3 linked regions of the Lepisosteus oculatus genome follow. The main gene of each other region encodes a partner of the protein of the gene in region 3 in a complex. Links are inferred from orthologs where the notes say so. Each region holds a gene or a part of one and is shown on either strand. Other genes may lie near its edges.

Region 1 (7,956 bases), on a different chromosome or scaffold from region 3:
AATATTGGGAAAATTCCAGTTTTGTTCTTATTGTATCAATATGCAATGACAAAATGCTGAACCAAATTCACAGGACAACAGATTCTGTGCTACCATCACGGAGACCAGGCCTGTGGGTCTGCTCCATCAACTACATAAACGTGTGCTACTTTCTTGGGCAGGATTAAGGAATAAGGAATTACAAACGATTAAGGAACAAGTAAAGGTTAATCTCATGCCGAAAGTAGAAAGAACACAACAATTAGGCTGTCAATCTTTCTTCACCTCACACCTGAAGAAGGTTTAACCACCCAACAGTTTTTTTCCCAGTGTAGAACGAGCCTTTGCTTTTCTCTTCGCAGCCCTTTGCAAAGGACTAATCTGACTTGGCCAGTGCTCTGCATGGAGCATCCAGAACAAGCAGAGCTTCCATTTAACTTTGTCTCCAATTACGTGCAGGTAAATATTAGCTACCCTCTTCTGACTTCCAAACGTTCATTATCAGGAGGGCACCTAATTAAATTAAGGTTCCGCTTTGTTTACTGTTCTGGTTCCGTAACTGTTTGGGGAAAAAAATCCTGTCTATAGTCAAGGTGTCAACCCGACAAAAATCATACAGACTCAGAAGAACTGGATTTATGACTGATATTGGAATCCCCATCGCTTCCTAAAGGCTCACCTGAAGCCGTTCCACAGCAGGGAGGGACCCACCATGCAGAGGAGAAGATGCTGGCAATCATGTCCGGAGGGAAAAGCGTGACATTTCTCTGAACCTGCAGCAGGTTCAGCACCAGAGCAAGGAAGACCCCAATGGAAAACAGGACTACTGCCCGGATGACCAAGTTCGTGGCGCGGTTGGTCACGACGGAGATGTACGGCCCGCGGACCGTCGGCGCGGACGGCCGTCGCGTCACCTTGGGTGCTTCAGCCATTTCTGCCAAACACGGCCCCGCGAGCTGCTCTCAGAACACTAAGGCGTCTCCCCGCCGACAGCCACCTGCGCACTGGACACGGTCAGGCATCACTGCAAGCCTGGCATCAACGAGAAAACAACAACAACACTGACACTCACCTTGGTGCACGCGTCAAGAAAGGTAACGGACAAAACCGTCTTGTCAGAGGTGATCAGAGGCATTTGTTCCTATTTTGTTTTTAAACAAGGGTGCTCAGTCCCACAGCCATGAGGTCTTCACCAGAGGAATCAGACAGAATTCAAAATATTTCATTCCTCTAAGGCCAAAATGGGAGAAAACAGCAGATTTATGTCAGTCGCCACTTAAATCCCATTATCAGGTTCTCTTTTAACGCATGTAGACAATTTTGCACATCAAACTGCATAACAGTTGTTTAAATTCTCAAAGCACTGCTTAGTCTGTAGTCTACATGGTATACGTATCCAGTTTTACAACTACAGGAAAGCTGAAGATATACAACCAAGAGATAATAAAGAGAGGGGAACATTAGATTCAGCTGGTTAAACTCTATACCAAATCTAATTGTACGCTGTCTGGACAGGTGAAGAATTACAACTCAAATATGTCATGTTTTTTTTTTTCTTCAAAAAAGGCAGAGTATTACTGAATGCCAGACGCCTGAAAATAATGCCTCTGAAAAATCGTAAATTACATACTCAATAAAACATTGCTTCACCCAAAATAAATGGATTAATAGTGAGAATGGCTTCCAAAATAGAGATTACAACTCCAAATAGCCCTTTAACCATTTAAATGCAACTGACTGTAAAATAAATATGAAGCAACACCTGCTTCATGCTAGTGTTTTAGTTTCGGTGTCTGCGTAACAAGTATTATCGAGTGAAGCCTTCAAGAAACTCTTCCATTAAATGGCCTTCTTTGGGTGTTTCCTTCATGTTCAGTGTTGCCCTCAAACGGTTTTACAACACTGGTCAGTTTTGAAAGCCATGGGAGAGTGTCTCCAGTTCTGCACGATGGTCATGGACCATATACCTGTTAGGGTGTGAACGCAGAGAGGCGAGTAAGGAAGACAACAGTCTAGATGAACCCCAGCGTGCAATAATAGTACAGTTACAAGCGAACTGACCTCACATCTGCAACATGTTCGACATGGTTACTGCTTCTTCGGGTTTGGTACGTTTTGTAGCAAACCTGTGTTCAATCACAGCCACCGCAATGGTCTTGTAAGCAAGAGTACCCCACTTGAATAATGCCATTTCCTCCCCAAAAACCATTTGGCCACAGCTCCCTTTGAAAACCGGATTTACAGTCAAGCTTGTCTAGTCTTCCACTTCGATAGAATACCTAGGAAGACGTTGTTTTGGTACTTTTTGTGTGTGAATACACTTCGCAAGACCCCACTTACTCCAGTGTCAGTGAGTTGATTTGTGTTGTTTTAAAAGAAGAGTATGAATCCAGTGATTCTGAGCGAGTGAAAACACAGAAATCATGGGTCTGAACGGACTGGACTGCGCTTCTCCACAAGACGCGAGAAACGAGCATGGCAAAACCCGAGTTAAGTCAGTAAAGGAGGAGTCGTGCATGAGTCTCGCCAGTCTGTCCTGGATCGGAAGAAAGGGATCAATTTTAAGGCACGTAAACACTTTAAAACATGGCCCGTTACAGCTGTTAACTCTTCCGTCTGGTAACACAAATCCAGACAGGCCAATCACACCGGGCAGGCCTATGAAGGACAGGGGACAAACTTACTCGTCAAAACGATTGATATTTCAAATAAACGTTAACAGCTCTTGCATTTTCCCCATTCCTATAAAACGCAGTTTAAAGCAAACACCACTTATTAAAAATGAAACTGCTGACAGGGGGTACCGAGATCGAAACAGACAGTAACCTTACACAGCAAAGCGGTTTTCTCTTTCGGAGTTCTTACCTCATCTCTCACACACAAAACATTTATCCCTCTCATGCGAACTAACGCGCACCTAAAGACGCGAACGATCCTTCGGTTCGGAAACTTTCGTTAGCGGAAAGATTAAACCTAGGCTGAAAATAAAGTTTACCGTGTTTACCTCGGAGGACCACATCACTTCCCCGTCACTCTGCGATGTGCACGGCGCTCAACCTCCAATCAGGGTCGAGCGGCGTGACGTCATTTCCTAGCAAGAGCCCGCAGGCGCAGTGCAGTCGCATGTATGAACCAGGGAGTCAAAGCAGCCCTGAGGGATGTGGTGGAAGTTGTTGACTTTATTATTATTATTATTATCATCATCATTATTGTTATTAATTATTATTTAACGATGGAAAAACCTGGTACAGAGCATCGTAGCTGTAAGAGACAACAGCTGTTTGTGGCCACTGACATTCCATGATGTTGCAAAGAATGATGGTTAATTGGTTTGTAGTTCAAGACGGGGTGCCAGTTTGAAGTACCTGAGAAATATGCCAGAAACAGATTTATATATGTCGTAGTAAAATGAGGTGGACAGTTAAGTTACCATGACTAAAACCTATAGCTGGGATAACAGTTGGGCACTGTCTTTGGTTCACAAAACCAGCCTGCTCTCTTTCCCTTCTCCAGCGAATAACTGTGTTTTGCTCTGCCTATCATCATCTTCTTTCTGGGAAATTCATGATTTGGTTTCCACCTGCCCTGTGATTTCCATGCCTCTCCAGTTGGCCTTGTCGTCAGCGTACATCTTGTTAGCGTGGAAACAGGGGATTTAAGCGCATCAGTCCAGCCCAGGAGTGCCAAAGCTGGTCTTGGCGAGGCAGGGTTTTAAACAGGAACAGGCATGATATCGCTAATTCCCCCCTTTTTAAAATGTACTGTTACTTATCCACTTCACGAAATACTTATTTAGTGAACTGCGGATTCCCAGCGGGCCTGTTGCTGGTATTTCATCCTTATCAGGTTACTGGTTAGAACACAACAGCACACAGGTGCACTATACGTTACACAGCTGAGCCATTCTCTTCATTACTTTCCATATTTAATTTTTTAATCTGATAATGCCCTGCATATGGATTTTGTGATACTATAGATTATTTGGCTTTTGGCCATGGCAGTGACAAAAAAAGCATTCAGTAATTCTGTGAGCTTTAACTCTGCATCGCCCTGGAAAGATGATATATTGTACTTTCATTTAAAAATCAATTGAAATTGAAATATTGAAAGGCGATTTAGCTAATTCGATTTTTTTTAGTTTACAGTTTATTAATGCGAACAATATTGCACGAGAACAACTTGCGATGTTTTGGAAACTGGGCATGGCTTTAGCAACATTGACACAAATTTCACGAGGAGATGAAGCCGGGAAATCCACAATAATATATATTATGTAAAAATTAATGTGAATTATGAGGGTGTAATATGGATTGTAATGAAGTTCTTGACTGGCGTGTTTATGCTTCATATTCCAACTCCTATTTTATTTTCAGGGTATTCTTATTAACTAAAATGTAGTATATACTGTACGTTGATAATAGATTTATCATATTTAAGATCAACATAGTTATATATTATGTAATTATAATAATTCTACAAATTGATCATATATTTTTTTATTTGGTATTCATGGGATGCACATTTAGAGCGGAGAAGAGTGTGTCAGAAAAGATCATTTCAACAAAAGGTGCCAAACAGTGTTCAAAATGGACGTTGGTACATTGCATTTGTTTCCCAGAAATAATGGGTTAATGAAAAGTGTTTAAAAAAAAATCTGACGATAAGCTTTGTGTTGTAATACTATGTCAACAATGTAATGTAAGCCCCTTTGTAATTAATACATATAAAATTCCAAAATGCAAGTCTTTACACATCTTCATTGTTTATCCGCAGTGATAATTTAGCCTTTTCCCCTAAGCTACTTACAGCTACCACCATCATTCCAAATGACAAGTGACTGTTGTGCTGTTGATTCTAATTAGTAACCAATTAGCTCATTATTGCTCTGGTTAATTGCATTTTGCTATTAGGTTACTTCGGTAATAAGGACTTTATAATTAAAAGCATGCACTGAATAACATTGATTAAACAAGAGCCTCTAAATGAAGTACGTATAAACACATATACAAAGCCTTGACTTAAATAAATAGACATCCTCCCAGATTAAAATCAGCCATTGAATTCCCTTAAACACATTGTTACCTAATAGGATACTGGCAGAAGCCAATTGAAAATCTTCATACTGTAGCACTGCACATTCAGCTATTAACTTTAAACCTCAAATACCTCAAAGGCCGAAACTGGTGCTGTAGAAAGGAGTCTCAAGAGATTCTTTAAATGTTACCTCCACGGTGTGGTATAAAATGCAGGAGCTGCAAGACACTGAACACGTTCCACACACTGGGCATGCCATTTGGCAGTTCTCGGGCAGTTCTCACAGATGCATGTGGTCCCATCAAGCACTGGATTACTCATTGATCCATAGTGTAAAATTGCAGTTTGATTTTTTGGGACCCATTGAGAGCATGTGATCTATCTTTGACAGATTACTGTGAAAGCATTGCACTCCCAGAATTCTAATTCCATCATAAGATTAGTGTCTGTAGGTGTGTGTGTGCTTTTACTAGTTTCAAGATTATTGTGATTATTGATTGTGATTTTGAGGCAATTCTCTTTGTTCGAGGGGATAAGAGCATTGATATTGTAAATGAAGTTACAGTGCAAAACAGTTGTGAACAGAAGTAAAGTGATTCACTGTCAATCAATATTAGTTGCAGCTATCTAATAAAAGCAAATTGAACTGTTTCTTTATCTGCCGAGTTATTTCAGATTAAAGTATTTCATATTTTCGTTTACTGGAAGGAAGGAGCATGCCATGTTTCAGGATATCTGTGTAAGCTCAATGGATGGTACAGTGTAGCGAACAGCATAATCCGACAGAGTGTATTACAAATACTGCATAAAAGTATAATAAGTGTAAAAATAAACTGCAAACTAGAGAACTAGGATTTCCATAATCCACTTTGATTTCTTTAGTTCCATAACTTAAGCCTATTAGACCACATACTAGAGCAAATCAAATTTGTTAAGTGAACACTCATGAGTAACTTGAAAGGAATCATAAAGAAAAAAAAATCTGAAGCAATTACAGTTGCTCAAAATCTGTGTATTACATGGTATTAAAAGTACCCAAAGCACAGAACAGTAGAAAGGAATTTAATTACTATGCAAAGAGCGTCCTTTGGAAGAAGGCAAAGGAGGATTTGATTCATTTGTTTTCAAAGAAACAATCTGAGCAAGAGAAAAATATTTGTATTGGTATATATCGTGTACCCATCCACTGGGTAGCAGAAAGCTGCTTATTTTATAATGGTCACAGGACCAACAGATACTGGAGACATAAAGTGAGATAACAACAGGGCTGGGATGGCAGTCCAGTCTCAGGACACGCACACAAACCAGGCGCACCCATCGAAAAGCCATGCAAGCACAAGGGGAACATGCAAGCTCCACACAGACAGTTGTATGAAACCGAGACCCAGCATCTTAGAAGACAGCAGTGCTAACAGACTCACCACTGTGTTGATGTACTGTATGAATGCCCCTTTTCTAGCCTTGGATTGACAAAGACTCCTGATTATATTTACCTGCAGTATAATGAACTTAAAAAAGAAAACAAGACACCGAATTTACTTTATATCAGCTGAAACAAGTTAAAGGTAAAAGGGCGATAATAATGAAAAACGATATGCCACACCGGCACTGTGCAACACTCCAGAGTAAAATCAGAGTCTGAAAATGTGAAAAGTGAAGGTAATGAAGTGGCGACAGAGATGATGTAAAATATTTTACAGTCATCTGATGCTTGCTCCCATTCCGTTGCGATCTGTATAGACGAGTCCGAACCTACAGCCAGCACCATTTGCCCAATGTGCAGCATGTGTTATCTCTCTATAAAGAGGAACATTATCGCTTGTTAATTCATTTAGAGCATTCAATGGTCAGTTCTTATCAGTTAATGCACTTTATCACCTGCACTTCAGGCTAGTGTTTCAAAACCCTTGGAGATGATCAGCACTCTGAAGTGAGGGCAAATAACCTGCTATTAGGCGCTGGGAGCAGGGAAAGAGTTTCAACGATAAGTGAGAGTGGTCAAGCACCCGATTCATCATCCTGTTCACTCCAATGCGGAGAGGCCCTTTTTATCAGCACTATTTGCACCAATGTCATAACCTCTGGTATAAATCTTCTGTCAGGGCTCCTGTTCGAGTGAGCTCCCTCGCCCCATTACAATCCTAGCCCCCACATAATCACTCCTCGACCTTTGGATGTCTTTAATTAACCTTTGACCCCAAACATGTAAGCCCTGGTAGATTCAATTGCTGAAAGCCAATAAATGTGCATATTACACGATTCGCCTATCTGGCATTCAGTTCGTGTTTTTAAAATCAGACAGGATCTCAAATAACTGTTAAAAGCACCCCCTAATTTACTCATTCTTAGGTGTGTGCCTAAATTATGGTAATTTATAAATATCCCAAAGTACTTTCATTTAATGTCAGAATTTGTGTTGGATAGAGGGCATCAGACAGCTGATATTTATGCTTTCAGGGAGGCAAAACATTTTGTTGTTTTATGTATTTGTGGTTAAAGGGTATTTCAGTGCACATTTGCACTATAAGAGAGTAAAAGAACCTTCAGTGGCACGTTCTCTTCTGTCTAAACAAATCTGGGTAAAATGGTATTAGTAATTAGTCATTTTAATAATTGTATTTTCGCACATAGCTGGGAAGCTTGAAGAAGTAGGAAGTTTTCAGATCAGTGAAATATTTGTGATTTTTAAAAAATAAATACAAGACTATTTACTCCTTATGTGAGTTACAATATTTTCCTTCCTTTAATAAGATAGTATAGATACAAAACCTAGTATTTGATCCACATATGATTGAAAAATATTGAGACATCATGGACTGATTGGCTTTAAATCATTATCAGATGCCATCAGTATTCCTTTTTTCCCCCATATTATGCTTCCAAGATAGGTCTGTATCTTAAAGAGCATATTTTTCATTTCAATCTTTTCTACAAAGCGGCACA
Region 2 (7,245 bases), about 7.4 Mb from region 3:
ACATGCTTAGAATAAGACTCTTTCATGTAGGAAAAAATTGGACAGCTCAGAGAAAAGTGGTGCAGTTGGCTTGAAAGTCATGTGTCTGTAATGGTTACTACTTGTGATTGTGTCTTCTTGTGTAACATAGATGCTCCATGGTGTGGAGTGAAGAACAGTCATGCAGGCTTCAAGTACATAAAAACTACCTTTCCTACTAAGAAGAAATGGGAAGCAGGCCATTGTGTAAAGGACAGAAATGAGCCCTGCCATATAATGTACGTAAGCAAAGGAAATTATTTTTAAAACATAAGTAAATGCAACAGATTGTGCAGGCTTTTAATCAGAACCTGCGAGCATGATTCTGTAGTACCTGTGTCAACATTTACATCCACAAATGTCATCTTAGAGAATAACAATGTTGTTTTTTTTCTAATGACTTACCTTGGCATTCAGTTTCTGTGACTTCCTCGCTTTAAAGATCATGTATTGAGCTCTAGGAAACAATCATGTGATTACATCATGTTGCTGTATATGTTGCTGCAGTTGTTTGAATAACTGGCCAGTAATTGTACTTTTCTACCTCCTCACAAGCCTACAATTTCATAATCCAAGCACAGTTTGCCCTCAAAACTCATTTCTTGCAGTTACAGTTGTCAGATGAAGCTCTCACAGACATGCCTTTTCTCGAACCAGTTGGTGTCTGTCTGGCTGCTGCCAGTGTCCTTAGGCATGAACTTTTGAGGAGCCACCCATGCTGTAGTGAATGCAGACTTGCCTCTTCAGAATCTGTGGAGTGGTCTTAGGAATTCAGGAGCTCTCTGGAGTGAGGAAATAACAAAACCAAAAAAATTAAAGGTACACCTTTTAGCAAGAGATGGTTACGTAAAATGATATGGTTTTCTGAACTATTACTTGATCTTTGAACTCCATTCAGAATTTCCTATTAGAAATTTTCAGACCAAAGTGATACTTGGAGCTGTGTGCCTCAATTAAAAGACTTCGCAGTACTATGAGCTCATGTGCATAACTATAATATAACCCCCACACCTACAAATAAAAGACTGTAGCGTGTGTGAAACACTGGTGCTTGAGTTTCAAATGAGGTATTTTTTAGGAGCTTTTTAATGAGTTAAAAATTGAAAATATGAAAACATTCATGTCTCCCATTACAGTCAAGTGCTAGAGATCATGGCTGCAGCAAGAGAAGAAGATCCTTTTGAGCTGGCAAACACTATTTTCAACAATACCATAAAGGTCTTCTTCAAAGGAAGCTGAAGGCTTATACCGACTAGAGCTGCTCTCACACCAGACAACGTGGTATGGGCTTCTGTCTTCACTACCACACTGTTCCAGATTTGTTTCGCAGCTTGAAAATCCTGGAATCCACATACAGGAACCATGATGAACATGATTCTTGATTGCTGCTTCTGGGAAACAAATATATATTTTTAAAGAAAATAAAAAATAATTTAAAAGGCATTAAGTTTGTTGTTTGTATGACACCTAATTTGGATTTATCAGATTTATCATTTTTAATGTACTATGTTTAATAGTTTTTAGTAGGGATATGGTCACTTGTATGGTATTATGCATGTTATGTTAATGTTGACTTCCAGTTTATTTGTAATTAATATAAGTCATGTGACTTTTAGATGAGGTTGTAAGATATCTAAATACGTATTAATAGGTTAGTGATATTGGTGTTGCTAAGCTTTACACCATGGTAATAGAAAAGTAACGATATGTCATAGTACTTGAAGAGCTACACACCAACCGCTTTACTCTGAAAGAAATGGCACCCCTCACTGCTGCCATCTTGTGATTTTGTAAAAAAAAAGATCAAATAAATTGTAAATTTATCAAATTAACATTTTATTTTCAACATGAATTAAATATTATTAACTAATCACAAATAGCTACTTGTTTCCTTGGTGCCCTTATCAGTGCGATATGAAAAAGGCTGTCAATGTGATTACAAGGCACAGAAAGTGAAATTTCAAACCCATTGGAACTGGGTTACATCCATTGGGTTACGCACAGGTGATGAGAACCATGAGGTTGAACTGGTATAGAAGACATCCTGAGGAACTTTCCTATTGCCTTATCTGGGAAAGGGGTGGAGATGGAGAAGGTTTTCAAAATATCCCACGTTTTATGTTCATTGGTAAATCTACCTGTATATCAGGTATTAGTACAGAAAAGTTCGGTGCCTGTAAATAATAATATTGTGGTGCCTTCGCCTGGCGTTGCGGTTGAAGAGCGCCTTGCCGAGGTGCGCAGCGAAGGGCAGGATGGGAGGAGGAGTCAAAGGGGGGACTGAGGGCGACTGGCCAGTGCAGGTTGACCATCTGGTGCAGTTGCACATTGTTGTGGGCTGTTGGGTTGCATATAAATAGTTATCTCCGGTTTATACTGTACTCTTTTATACCTGTACCCACTTAACTACCCTGTACCTATATGACCCTAGTGTGTTATACCCTGGTTACACTGTCTGTCTCCAGCTGTCTTTGCTGCTGTGCCGGCAATAAAGAGCAGTTTCCGTTCTAAAAAGAGCATGAATTCCTGTCTGCATCCTCACCGACCCTGTCTCCCTACATTTGTGTCAGCAGTGGGAGGGATGGACAGCGATTAGTGCCAACACCTGTCGGACTCAGATAAGTGCCAGTTTTACCAGCAGGCGAGTGACCCCCTCAAGCCCTTTCTGGGGACGAGCAGCAGCAACCAGGAGCAGGAGTGGCTCCCTGGCACCACTGGAGGGTTGTGGTCCTGCACTGGGACCGCCTGGTTCCATTCAGGGCTCGTGAGGGGACGCTCTAATAGGAGGGCGCAGCGGATCCCAGGGAGCAGCCAGTTCCAGATTCCTATGGCCTGGGGGGGCCAAGGGAGCAGACCGCCAGACTCCACCCCAATGCAGCGAGCGAGTTCACCGGGCGCCACGGGGGCTGGAGGATTTAGTGTGCGGCCTCGCTGGGTTATTCATCGTTGGTGGGACACTTGATGTTTTAGGTGGTGGCAATGTGGCGCTCTCACCTGGCGTTGCGGCCGAAGAGCGTCTAGCTGAGGTGCACGGCGAAGGGCAGGATGGGAGGGGGGACTGAGGGCGACTGGCCAGCGCGGGTTGAACATCTGGTGCAGTTGCACATTTTTGTGGGCTGTTGGGTTGTCATATGTATAATTATCTCCGGTTTACAGCCTTTTATACCTGTACCCACTTAACTACCCTATACCTATGTTTCAGTACCCTAGGTGACCCTAGTGTGTTATACCCTGGTTACACTGTCTGTCTCCAGCTGTCTTTGCTGCTGTGCCGGCAATAAAGAGCAGTTTCCATTCTAAAAAGAGCCTGAATTCCTGTCTGCATTCTCACAGACCCCGTCTCGCTACAATATCAAATAATTACTAAGATTTTTCTCTGGCTTACCTTCTTAGTTATGGAGACCTTTTCTTCCCCTTGACGTGCCAACAATTTGGTTAACGAACTTTCTCCTCGAATTGCCTTTTTGCGTTTGTCTGAGTCAACTTGAGCTTGCAAGTCAAGTACAACTTGATTTGCCACGGAGACAAACGTACCAGGCTTACACACCAAACATTCAGCTTCCCGGTCTTCTCTGCCACTTCGAAAACAAGGAAATTTATTTTTTAGTTCTGCTGTGAATTTACACTTTCGCTTTAGCATTGTGTTTGAGGGTAGGAAGACGAGAAACAAAATAGGGAGCCTTTTGAGGGAATGCTTATGCTACTAGTAGTAGGCATGCTGCAGTTTCACTGATTATCCTATACTTCGATTGCCTTGATACAGAAGCATAATGACACTTAAAAGCAACTCCTACTCACAATATTAATGGACGACTTTCAATGTATTAGTTACACATGTGTACACTCTCTTCTTTATTGAGATGGACTTCTTAAATGGGTCTTCCTGCGAGAAAACGTAGGAACTTGTTATTAATATGCTATTAATATGCTATCTTCCGTAAATTACAAAAGATATTGTTGTAGTCTATCTCTTTGCACTTTTCCAAAATAGGAGATAGTGAGGTTTCTACGCTACAGAGGATTCATTCCTTGGCTTCTGCAGAACAATCCGGCACGAACCTTAAGAGAAAAAGCAGAACTGTCTGACCGTTGCCATAACAACTGGACATCAAGTCCATTGCGTCATGTTTAGGAGCTCCATTTAATTACGTATTCACTATGACGTTCCAAATTGGAGTTACTTCCGCGTTCCGTGCATAGCAACAGGAGGACAGTGAAGATGGCGGTGTGCAGGGATCCAGAAAAATAACTTCAGAAAATTCAGTAATTTGTTTAATCAGAAGCGGCGAGAGAGCATTGGACTCCGAGAGCCCGAGTCCTCTTGGTATAACGTCCCATGGCGTCCCCTCATATCCGGATCGGCCACCAGGCCCTAGCTGTGCTGGATGTGGCTTTTCGAGTTCCCTGTATTTTCATTATCGACGCCATTTTTAACTCTTATTTTGATCCTGGGTCCGGATGGGCCATCACTGCTGTACGGATTTTAATTCGTTTTTTGGGTAAGGTGAATTTAAAGTATTAATGAAATGTCGTCTGATAGGGTGTGTGTCATCCTTTTAATTCACTCTTGCGTGTTGTTAAACCTGATCAAGCTGACCAGGCCACCTGTCAAACAGGAGCTCCGGCCTCTCGGTTTACTCCCTGCGGTTCCGATGTCATTGACACGCCGTTCATGAGTAGCCAACAGAGTCGAGAGGAGTGAAAAACTCCCCTGTGTGCTGTTTTGGATAATACCACTGCCTTTCTGCGCTTCTAATGTCTTGAGTTGAATAGTTTACGTTTATTTGTTATATCCCCGCGCTTCGTTTTGGGTTAACATTAGGAAGGGCAACAGCGATCGGATGATTTTAAATGCCAATAAGATTTTATAAAACAGGGAGCTCTTCAACTCTGTCGTCTTGAGCAAGTCTAATTTTCCTAAGAAATGAGTTTATGGACGGCGTTTTCAGTAGCATATGTTTCTAGGACCGGATGTCCGATTTTCTTCATGTTATCCTTCAGCTGACTTTTGAAATATGCTTCAAACGGATTTCTGTTAGCCAGTTTATTTCCACATTTCCTTGATTTATGGAGTCAGGTTTTCTTCCCATTCTCTCCAAAATCTGTATGGGTTAAAGCCCTGAAATATGTAATCGCAAATCTTAACTTTAAGAGCAAGTTTCATACTGCTGAAACGATGATTTACATTCTTTGTAAACATTAGGTTTGAGTTGTTTTATCACGCTTTCAGAAAAGCATTAGTTCATTGTTCTAGTTTTAGCAGACAATATTTGTTTAGTAGGAAATTAGATCGACAGTCTTAAATGTTAATTGTAACTAAACCATATAGGCTACAGTGAAAATCATAACTATCAGGACAGTAAAGTGAAATTAATCATTTTTGCTGTGTACTAAAAACGTGTATTTTGGATCAAAAGATTAATATGAGATCAAATCTGAATGTCAGTTTTGATTCTGGATGGTCTCGTATATACCCTTGTCTTATCACAAGAACATAGCAATTCAGATGACAGTTCAGGGAATACAGGCTAATGTAGTTAATCTGTGTTAAAGAGTGCCACCTCGATTTGTACCTGTCAAGTTCTAAAATTCCACTCTGCAAAACAGCCATCAGGCATAATATCATGTGTGTTACAACGTAACATATTGCATTCCAAAGTACTGCTTCCTTTTCTAGTGCCACAGCCGGAACATGTGTAGCTCTCAGTTCAGTTCATTCAGATTTTCATAAGGATATAATGTTGCATCATAAATCAAGTTAATTTTAATAATGTTGTATCATAAATCAAGTTAATTTTTTTCCTTTCTTTTCCAGGTGTTTTGGTATCAGGTGTTGTCCTGGTCTTGTCCCAGAGAGCGCTCTTTAAGTTCTACATGATCTTCTTTGCAGTACTTTTGGGAGCCGTCGCATTTCTGGTGAACTATTACGCCACCTCTCATATAGACTTCTACAGCGCTTACTATACAGCAGCATTAGGATTTAAGCTGCTTCCTCGTAGTGGACCCACACTATGGCTGGGCATGGCCACAGTCCAGCTTATGTTTGGAATTGGGCATGTTATGCTCCTCAATGTACAGTCAGTCTTTGCTGCACTAATTGTCCTAGACATTATGATCCCCATATGGGGCTTGATCTTGGAGTTGCCAGTGGATGTGAGACAGCTCCTGGCCATCATTTCAGGCTTGGTTCTTGTAGTGAACACAGTTGTCTGCTTACTTATGAAGATAAAGTGGTTCTATTACTCAGGTCGCTATGTGTACCTGCTCATCAGGCACATGTATCGCATCTATGGACTCCAGCTGCTGGTGGAGGACACCTGGAAAAGGATCCGCTTCCCAGATGTCCTCAGGGTTTTCTGGCTCACGAGACTTACAGCTCAAGCTATCATTCTGGTTTACGTTGTGAAAGTGGTGGACAATGAAGAAGGAAAGTGGAATTATTTGATCTCCTGGGATGCTTTCTGGGATGTTTTGTGCAACCTTATCATCAGTGGGTGTGACTCAACCTTGACAGTCCTGGGCATGAGTGCAGTTATCTCCTCCATTGCTCATTACTTGGGGCTCGGTATATTGGCTTTCATTGGTTCCACAGAAGAAGAAGATAAACGCTTGGGTTTCGTAGCACCTGTGTTGTTTTTCATTTTAGCTCTTCAGACTGGCCTTAGTGGCCTAGACCCTGAGGAGAGACTGGTCCGGCTCAGCCGAAACATGTGCCTTCTCTTGACTGCCATCTTGCATTTCATTCATGGGATGACTGATCCAGTTCTGATGTCTTTGAGTGCCTCACATGTTTCGTCTTTTCGCAGACATTTCCCTGTGCTCTTGGTCTCCTTGTGTCTGTTTGTACTGCCCATTGTGCTGAGCTTCATCCTCTGGCACCACTACATTCTAAATACCTGGCTGTTTGCTGTGACTGCATTTTGTGTAGAGCTCTGTCTGAAGGTCATTGTGTCCCTGACTGTCTACACACTCTTCATGATTGATGGCTACTACAATGTCTTATGGGAAAAGCTGGATGACTATGTGTATTATGTGCGCTCAACTGGCAATGTAATTGAGTTCATTTTTGGGGTGATCATGTTTGGGAATGGAGCTTACACCATGATGTTCGAATCTGGCAGTAAGATCCGCGCGTGCATGATGTGTCTCCATGCCTACTTCAACATTTACCTACAAGCCAAGAATGGCTGGAAGACCTTCATTAATCGGCGGACAGCAGTGAAGAAA
Region 3 (7,567 bases):
TACGATTGTAAAATATACGATTCTTAACACTATGAGATAAGCCTGCAAAGAAGAGATCATAGTTCTTCTGAACTTGGGAAAGCCCCAAGCAAATATTAAATGATAGAGCTATAAGAGAAAGTAATTTTGTTGATCTGCTTATTGTAAAAGTACAGTTATCACTGTGGCAAGGTGGTTTTCATTGCTGCCTTGCAGCGCTGGGGCCCAGGGTTCAATAACACACCCGAAGTGCTATCTGCATGTAGTTTGTATGTTCTCCCTGTTTTTGCTTGGGTTTCCTCCCGCATTACAAAAACATACTGGTAGGTTAAATGGCTTCTGGGAAAGCTGGCTCTGGTGTGAGTGTGTGCGTGTCTGTGTCAGTTTCTGTACACTGCAGGCCTTGTGTCCCCTGCAGGGTGTTAGCCACGTTTGTGTGTGTTGCTTGCCTGGATAGGACTGTGAGGTAACCATAGCCTGTATGGGAGTAAGCAGTTAGTAAATGGATAGCGGGGTGGATGGATTATTGTAAAAAGACACTATCACTGTTCAGGACTGTGAAAACGCTTGGCGAGTGATGCACAGTTTTGACGAGTGTAAAGCACTATGTGTCTGCAGCTGGTGTACTACAGTAGGTGCTGCCGGAAGTGTTAACCTGGTGTGGAAGAAGCCACTTGTGCACTGTTATTGCCATGTGGGTAAGGCTGGGAGATTTCTTGGTCAAGTAGAGTGAGGGCTTAATGAAACTAGATTTTAGTTTACAGTGCCTGGAAAGAATTAAGTTAAGAACAGACTCGCCTAAAAATAGGACATGCATTTACACACGGATTTGTGGGGAGCTGTGTCCAACTTCCCTTTCAGGAAACAGCTTGTGGTGCCTTAAGAATTGGCTGAATTCTGTGATCAAACGGTTCATATCAACCCAATATAAAGGAAGTCCAAATGGAAAAACAGTGTTGTGGATTTTATCTATGTAATCTTATGAGATGACGAGGATCTGGTGTGCTGTTTGAAGAGATATCAGTCATTGCTTGTTTTTTTTTAATGCTTCCCTATATGGTTTCGTATAAACGTATTCACTTTAAGATATTCTGAATTTATGCATATTTTTGCTGCCGAATGTTATCAGAGCTCCACATGGGTCTAAGTGATACATAAAGGCACCTTGAGTAAACAAATAACTCAGGAGTTTAGTGCTTGTTTCATTTATTTAAAAAACAGTCATCCAACGTCCAAATGTCCCTGAGTGGAAAAGGTTAACTGATTCTCCCCTGAGATTCAGTAACTGGTTGCTCCACGTTTAGCTGCAGGAACTGCACCCAAATACGTCCCGTAGTTGAGCATCGGTCTCTCACATGGTTGTTGGAATATTGACCTGTTCCCCCGTGGCAACCTGCTGGAAACTGCTGTAAGGGGGGTGAATACTTTCAGAACGGTAGCTGTCCTGAGGATGTGATCTGTAGCTGAAGTGCTCATCTGGAGACTGCACTCTGTGCTTTGGAAACTGTATCATTGCTGTGTATCGCTGATCTCTGTAGCCCATCTGGGACCTGTGTGTAATGGTGGAGCCCCACTGCAGTCACATGCACAGCTCTGCATGCCTCCTTATCTCACAGGGGAGTTAATTTGTGATTTACTGTAGGACAGTTAAAAGGATAGCCCTCAGGAGCTGAGCTGTAGAGTTCAGGCTCTGCAGAGCTCACGTTGTCCATGCAGTAGCAGCAGCACCGCAAGTTCTCCACACCTGTCTCTCTGGAAGACCTGGAGCCAGTTGAAAGTTAAAAATGAATTAGTTGCTCCTGCCGTTGAGGATCAACATAAATAATTAAGAGTCGGTAGGAGCACAATGCTGCAATGAAATAGAGCCGAGCTGCTGCCTGTGCCCGCCCCAGCCCCCGGGGAGTTTGGTCTGTGTGAACAGGTCCTGTTCTAGTGGGATTTCGCAAACGCTGACTCCAAAGTCCTTGGCAGCGGGATATATTTGCTCCTTGCAGTTTGCCACTTTCTCCGGAGAGACTGTCTAAAAATATTGCATCACAGTGTTTCCAAATGTTCTCGTCCCCAGCAGGCTTTTAGAGAATGTGTGCAGAGCACTGCTAGGCCTCAGCAGTCCGTGTACATACCCGTGTGGCCAAACTGTGGGTATGGGAGTGTTAGTGTGCACTAGAGTATTTGACACATGGGCTAATCACCACTTACTGCTATCTTTAATACATTTTCAGTGTATGAAATACACTGTATTGCTGCCTTTTCTGGTCTTTTTCCACTTGTGTTATTTCTCTTTCTTTTCCTTTGTCCTAGAAGTACTATACTGCATGTCTTGGATGGATCTAAATAGTCCGGGCTTACTGCTTTCATACACACACCTGACAGCAAGCATACAGTACGTTAGAGACGCACCAATTTGCACCTCAGCTGGGGATTACAGTTCCCCTTTCTGAGAGATTGCACTCTGTGTGAGCTTTTACTAAGCTGTGGCTGCCCTAAGAGTGTTAATTAATGATTCTGTTGATTTAAAAATATTTCAAATACGGGGACATCAGGAGCCTGCAGTAGTTCTGACCTGTAAATGTGTGAGACTGTAACAGGGGTGAGAGGTCAGTGATCTTGGTGCAGGTTAAAGGTAAACGCAGTGTGTGCAGTTATTAACAGTGCAGTAGAGCTTTGCATGCATTTGCCTCTTATTTATGGGTTGTTCAATAATATATCTGCTATTGAAGTGCTTTGAAAATGAAGCCTTGTTAAATTAATAAGGGTGGAAAAGCCTAAAGTTAGCTGTCACATCCCCTGTGTCATTGGATGACACTCTTCCAATATGGATACATAAAGAAACAGTATAGTTACAGACCTTGTCCTGGAGACAGAGAGCCCCAAAGGTTGGAAACTTTAAAGTTGTGACTCTTCGTTCCGTACCTGAATTTTGTAAGCCATACATTTGTATACCATATTTGCACACACCACACTGTATTTAATTTTTTTTAATTGTTAAAAAATGAGAATGTTAACCTTATATACTGTATTATACTGTTCTTAATGTAACATTGTTTTGTTAAATTGGGACTCTCTGACATCTGAATTCCAATGGGTGATAAATGCATAAAAGCCACATCATGTTGCAATTTGTGCATTGGATGGCCATCTGCAGGACCTCCCTCTGCATCTGCTCTGTAATAGTATGCAGCTTCATTAAAGCCACACTAAAAACTGTTCCCATACTTGAAGTAAGAGTAACACCTGTTCTGGTTCTGCCATGCTGAATGAGTCGTGTGACTGTTGTTGTCAGATAATTAAAAAATACATGTCATATTTTGAATCACGATATATTGTACTACAAAAAAAATCATTTCACCTCATTTTTCGGGTGATGGGTATGTTGTTGTTGAGACAGGCTCAAAGTCTTTTTCACATGAGTCTCCATTTTTCACAGTTACGTTTTATGTTATTACTTGTGAAGGACTGCAGACATGCCTGTGAGAACCCGACACTCCAGATCACACTTGTTGTGATATACCAGTTCTCAAATTGTTGTCAGGAGCAGTTAAAAATATAGGCATTAGCCGCTTGTAATTAAAATGGGAAATTCTGATAAAAAGGGTTTGATAGCGTCATGCCAATCATTAGAATACTTCAAAATTAGGCGAATTGTTGGATTTTTATGGATACACTTGACACTGATGGCCAGGGCAGCATTTTCACAATGAATTCTGATATTACTGATACAGTTTTGGGGCGGCACAGTGGTCAGCATTGCAGCCTTGCAGTGTTGGGGCCCTGTGTTCCATTCCAGACCTGGGGAGCTATCAGCTTGGAGTTTAGACATCCTCCACACATCCGTGTGGGTTTTCTCCCACAGTCCAAAAACACACTGGTTGGTTTAATTGGCTTCCAGGAAATTTGGCCCTGGTGTGAGTGTGTTTGTGTCTGTGTGTGCTATGCGATGGGCTGGCATCATGTCCAGGGTGTATCCTGTCTTGTACCCCGTTGCTGGTAAGGATAGGCTCCGGCTCTCCTGCTGGGATGGAGGGATACAGTCCTCTTAGTTGAAATGAGAAGGAAGAGGCTTCTCCGGTTCTCGGTTCTTTGGTCGGGGCCGGGCAGAGGGATCGGACTGGCTGGAGGGGGTCCGCCCCGGTATGAGGGCAGCAGTGTCCTCTCCCCAGTGGGGCAGTGCAAGAGAGAAACTGGAGGGCAGCAGGGCACTGACTCTGAGCTCTGGTCTGAACTCTCTTCTGCAGATTGCAGTGGGTGTTCACATTTGTCCTTTTTCCACCAAACCTCTTGCCACATCTGTCTCCAGAGGTGCCAGCGGCAAAGCTTGTGGCTGTCACAGACCTGGGTTGTGGGGCGCTGCGTAAAAGAAGTGTTTGTAGTGCCGTCAGCTGTGCTGAGACGCCTCCTTTAGCTGCCCGGCATTTGTGCTGCTTTGCGCTGGTAAGTGGAGTGTACAGTATTAGCTTTGTTCATGCCGTGAGCACTGTGTTGTGAAATCCCATCAGGAATGTGAGCCGGGTTGCAGGGCTGTGCGGAGCGGAGAGCAGGGAGGGTCATTGTACAGCGGGGCTCGCGGCTTCAACAATGGAGCACTGTCTGCGGCTTTGGACCGAAAAACCTAATAGTTGGAGGAATTTAAAAGGCAGGATAAAAGCTGCTATAAAAAACAAGTAAGTAGAAGCTGCTATAAGCCTTTCCCTGAGGTGCCCTAATGATGCGTTTTCTGCAGATGTCGAGGTCTTCAAAACAGATAGACAGGGAGGAACACTGGGGGCTTCGCTGTCACCCCCGGCACCTGGGAGCAGTGGAAAAGGAAGCAGCTCTTGAAAAAGGCAGCTAGACAATTTGATCCTGACCTGAGTCGTAATGCCTGCGATCAAAACGAAGATAATATTATTTGGGATCTTTCTTGGGAGAGCAGTGTGGGCATTCCCGGGATGCCATGCTTCTCAGAGCTGTGGCTTTGAATGCATGTGTGCATTGCATGCAAGATAGAGACGTCTAATGTTAGTCTCTGAATCACAGCTTTGCTGTCATTCTCAGGCCTGTCCACAGGTGCTGAATGCTCCTACTGGCCTATACTGGGAAGTAGCAAGGGGGACACGGACTAGAAATAAGACAGCTCTCCTTAGTTGCCAAAAGGCCAACCCAGAAGGATTTCATAGGTTTCTATAAAATGATCAAGCACCATACACCTGGAACTATGGTGTAGTTGGGTGATTTGAAAGAACAGTTTGCTCAATTAGCTGAGAGCTCAGATGGAGTGAAAATTGTAAGGCTCAGTTGGCTCTTGAGGACTTAAATTGAGTAGCACTGGTGCAGTTGTAACATGTGCCGAATCATGAGTTAAGGTCCAGGCGATGTGTGTACTTGGCCTGGGGTTGTACTTGTGCACTGTGCTGGGGTTAGCATACCTGGAGCACAGTGCCCGTGTCGGGGAGGGTAATGTGTACAGTACAGTAAGGACATCTTCGCCCACTGCTCTGCTTCACTAACCCTGTTTTTGTTTGTTCCCAGGTCCCTGAATGCCCCCCGGACCCCTGCTCTCTGCCCCACGGCGCCCCCCAATGGCTCTCAGCTGACCCCCAGGATGACTGTGAGTGAGCGGCTACAGAAGCGCATCTCCGCTGCATTCTACCGGCATGGGTTGCTTTGTGCATCGTACCCAGTACCCATCATCCTCTTCACCGCGGTCTCCATCCTGGCCTGCTGGTGAGTATCGCGGGGCAGCCAGACCCCGAAAAAGACACAGAGGGAAGGATGTAAGAGAAAGGAGGAAGATCAATGTATTTCATTGAAAGAGGGAAAGTATGTCTGTCAATGCTAGCTATCCTTTCTTTCCACTTATATCAAGAAATTATTGTGGGAGTATGGGACAAGTCACCCAACCATGTGGTTGATGCCGATACGCTGAATGAGATCCTTGGATCAATTAAGTACTAACTACCAATTGGGCTAGATGGGCCTAATGTCTTCCTCTTGTTTATAACTGTACTTATGTTCTTAAAAAGCATATATCTTATATATATATTGAAACATCAACATTTATTATTGCTGCTGCTTTTAAGATGAACAGTAATACCCTAATAATATCTGTATTTCCCTACAGAGAGTGTGAGGGGCCATAAGACTGGATGTGATTCAGTTGTTAGTTTGCCAGTCATTGGTGATGTTGCAGCAACAGAATTAGTGGTGCTATTCAGGGCTTTGCTGCTATCTTTAGTCAAGTGGGGCTGAAGACAACATTTCCAAACCCTGTCTGCAGCCTCACACTGAGAGAGCCAGGCATCGTCTTTTTCCAGCCAGCCAAACTCCCAGTAGATTTAAGCACATCCTCAATGCAGTTTAATTACACAGCTTTCAACAGCAGATCTTTGAGTATACACTGCCTTTCAAAAGCATTTTCTGCTTCCAATGATGTCCTGTTTTGATGAATTACAAATTATATACGCACATTATTTTTTGTGCTACTACAGATTACAACAAAATCATCCAACCTCAACAGTTTTTTGTTAACTTCTTTCCCGGCTGCTTAATTTGGAGGCACAGTCTGATGTAGGCAGTGTCTGGGTGGTACACTACAGATTCCAATTGTTATATGATTGACTTCACCATGCTGAAAGGCTGTACAGTGTCTTTGAAATATTTTTATACCCTTCTTCTGATCTATGCCTTTCTACAACTGTTTCCCTGAGTTGTTTTGAAACCTGCTTGGTCTTCATGGTTAAATGTTTGCTTGAAAATCACTACCTGACTGAACGGCCTTACAAAGACGGGTACATATATGACATCATATAATTGCAGTCTTACCACACACAGATAGGGGGACACTCAGATAATTGTGTGACATGTCACAGTAATTTTATATACCTGATCTAATTTAGGTTGGCCTTAGCAAAGGTGGTGTATTATTATACAACATATTTATCTTTTTATTTCCCAGATATAGGCGATTAATATATATATATAAGTATTAGTTCTACCAGTAACTACAGTCTAAAGTAATGTCAAATCAAAAGATTGAAGAAAATCAAATGTACTTGTTCATCTGTCTTTAAACTGCAAACACAATGATAAGGATAATAATGATGAAGACAGACTTTAAGGGCTTTCTCTAGCCCTAGCTCTGCCTCAACAGCATGCTAACTGAGAACTCCATTAGAACATCTTTTTTCAAATCATTAAAAACCTGCCTAATGTAGAAACATCATTACAGAAGATGAATCTATAGAGCTTTTAGATGATCAGCTAGCTACAGTAGGATAGGGTTAGCTTTCCGACACTAGAGTTTCTTTTTTTCTTTCACTCATACAAGCCTTCAAAAGTGCCAAGTGAACAATATTCACATGGGGGAAAAAATGTGTGTACAGTACATCATTTGGAATTGATCCGAATGGAACATCATCGGAAGGAGGTGAATACTTTCGCAAGGCACTGTGTGTTTTTTTGAGTTGACACTGAAAGGACATATTAGTTACTGAAATTATTAGGCTTTCCTGCATTTCTTCATCACTGTCGCAAGGACCGTTGTTCATCTGGGCCCAACATCCATCTGATAAATTAAAATTAATAATACCACGATAATCCCAAACACAAA

The links.
Region 1: the proteins of scap (region 3) and insig2 are in contact, whole or in part, in a cryo-EM structure (PDB 7ETW), measured with the Homo sapiens proteins. The link is inferred for Lepisosteus oculatus from reciprocal best matches to the Homo sapiens genes SCAP and INSIG2. Residues at the interface, in NP_036367.2 of Homo sapiens: Pro200, Ser206, Val282, Ala283, Glu284, Ile286, Pro287, Thr290, Ile294, Ala297, Tyr298, Phe301, Lys305, Tyr351, Val354, Val355, Glu359, Thr409, Leu410, Val411, Ser638, Tyr639; in NP_001308258.1 of Homo sapiens: Phe41, Val45, Leu48, Leu49, Ile51, Val55, Leu57, Phe58, Pro59, Val62, Ser65, Ile66, Glu104, Trp105, Ser106, Met109, Arg110, Val112, Ala113, Val114, Val116, Gly117, His120, Gln132.
Region 2: scap (region 3) and rnf139 share a complex: the UniProt entries of both Homo sapiens proteins name them as parts of the SCAP-SREBP complex. The link is inferred for Lepisosteus oculatus from reciprocal best matches to the Homo sapiens genes SCAP and RNF139.

Annotation. Positions count from the first base shown.
Region 1 is NC_090707.1:6,226,464-6,234,419, reverse strand, and holds the start of insig2 (insulin-induced gene 2 protein), read right to left. Parts: upstream 3,059-7,956; 5' UTR 2,984-3,058; exon of another isoform or gene 2,975-2,983; intron 2,969-2,974; exon of another isoform or gene 2,845-2,968; intron 2,801-2,844; exon of another isoform or gene 2,041-2,800; intron 1,012-2,040; 5' UTR 912-1,011; coding exon 659-911; intron 1-658. UniProt on the Homo sapiens protein: Oxysterol-binding protein that mediates feedback control of cholesterol synthesis by controlling both endoplasmic reticulum to Golgi transport of SCAP and degradation of HMGCR.
Region 2 is NC_090705.1:12,501,976-12,509,220, forward strand, and holds the start of rnf139 (E3 ubiquitin-protein ligase RNF139), read left to right. Parts: upstream 1-4,194; 5' UTR 4,195-4,354; coding exon 4,355-4,517; intron 4,518-5,833; coding exon 5,834-7,245. Other genes in the region: deoxyribonuclease TATDN1, read left to right, coding at 131-257, 1,155-1,257. UniProt on the Homo sapiens protein: E3-ubiquitin ligase; acts as a negative regulator of cell proliferation through mechanisms involving G2/M arrest and cell death.
Region 3 is NC_090705.1:19,916,271-19,923,837, reverse strand, and holds the start of scap (sterol regulatory element-binding protein cleavage-activating protein), read left to right. Parts: upstream 1-4,477; 5' UTR 4,478-4,554; coding exon 4,555-4,640; intron 4,641-5,487; coding exon 5,488-5,682; intron 5,683-7,567. UniProt on the Homo sapiens protein: Escort protein required for cholesterol as well as lipid homeostasis.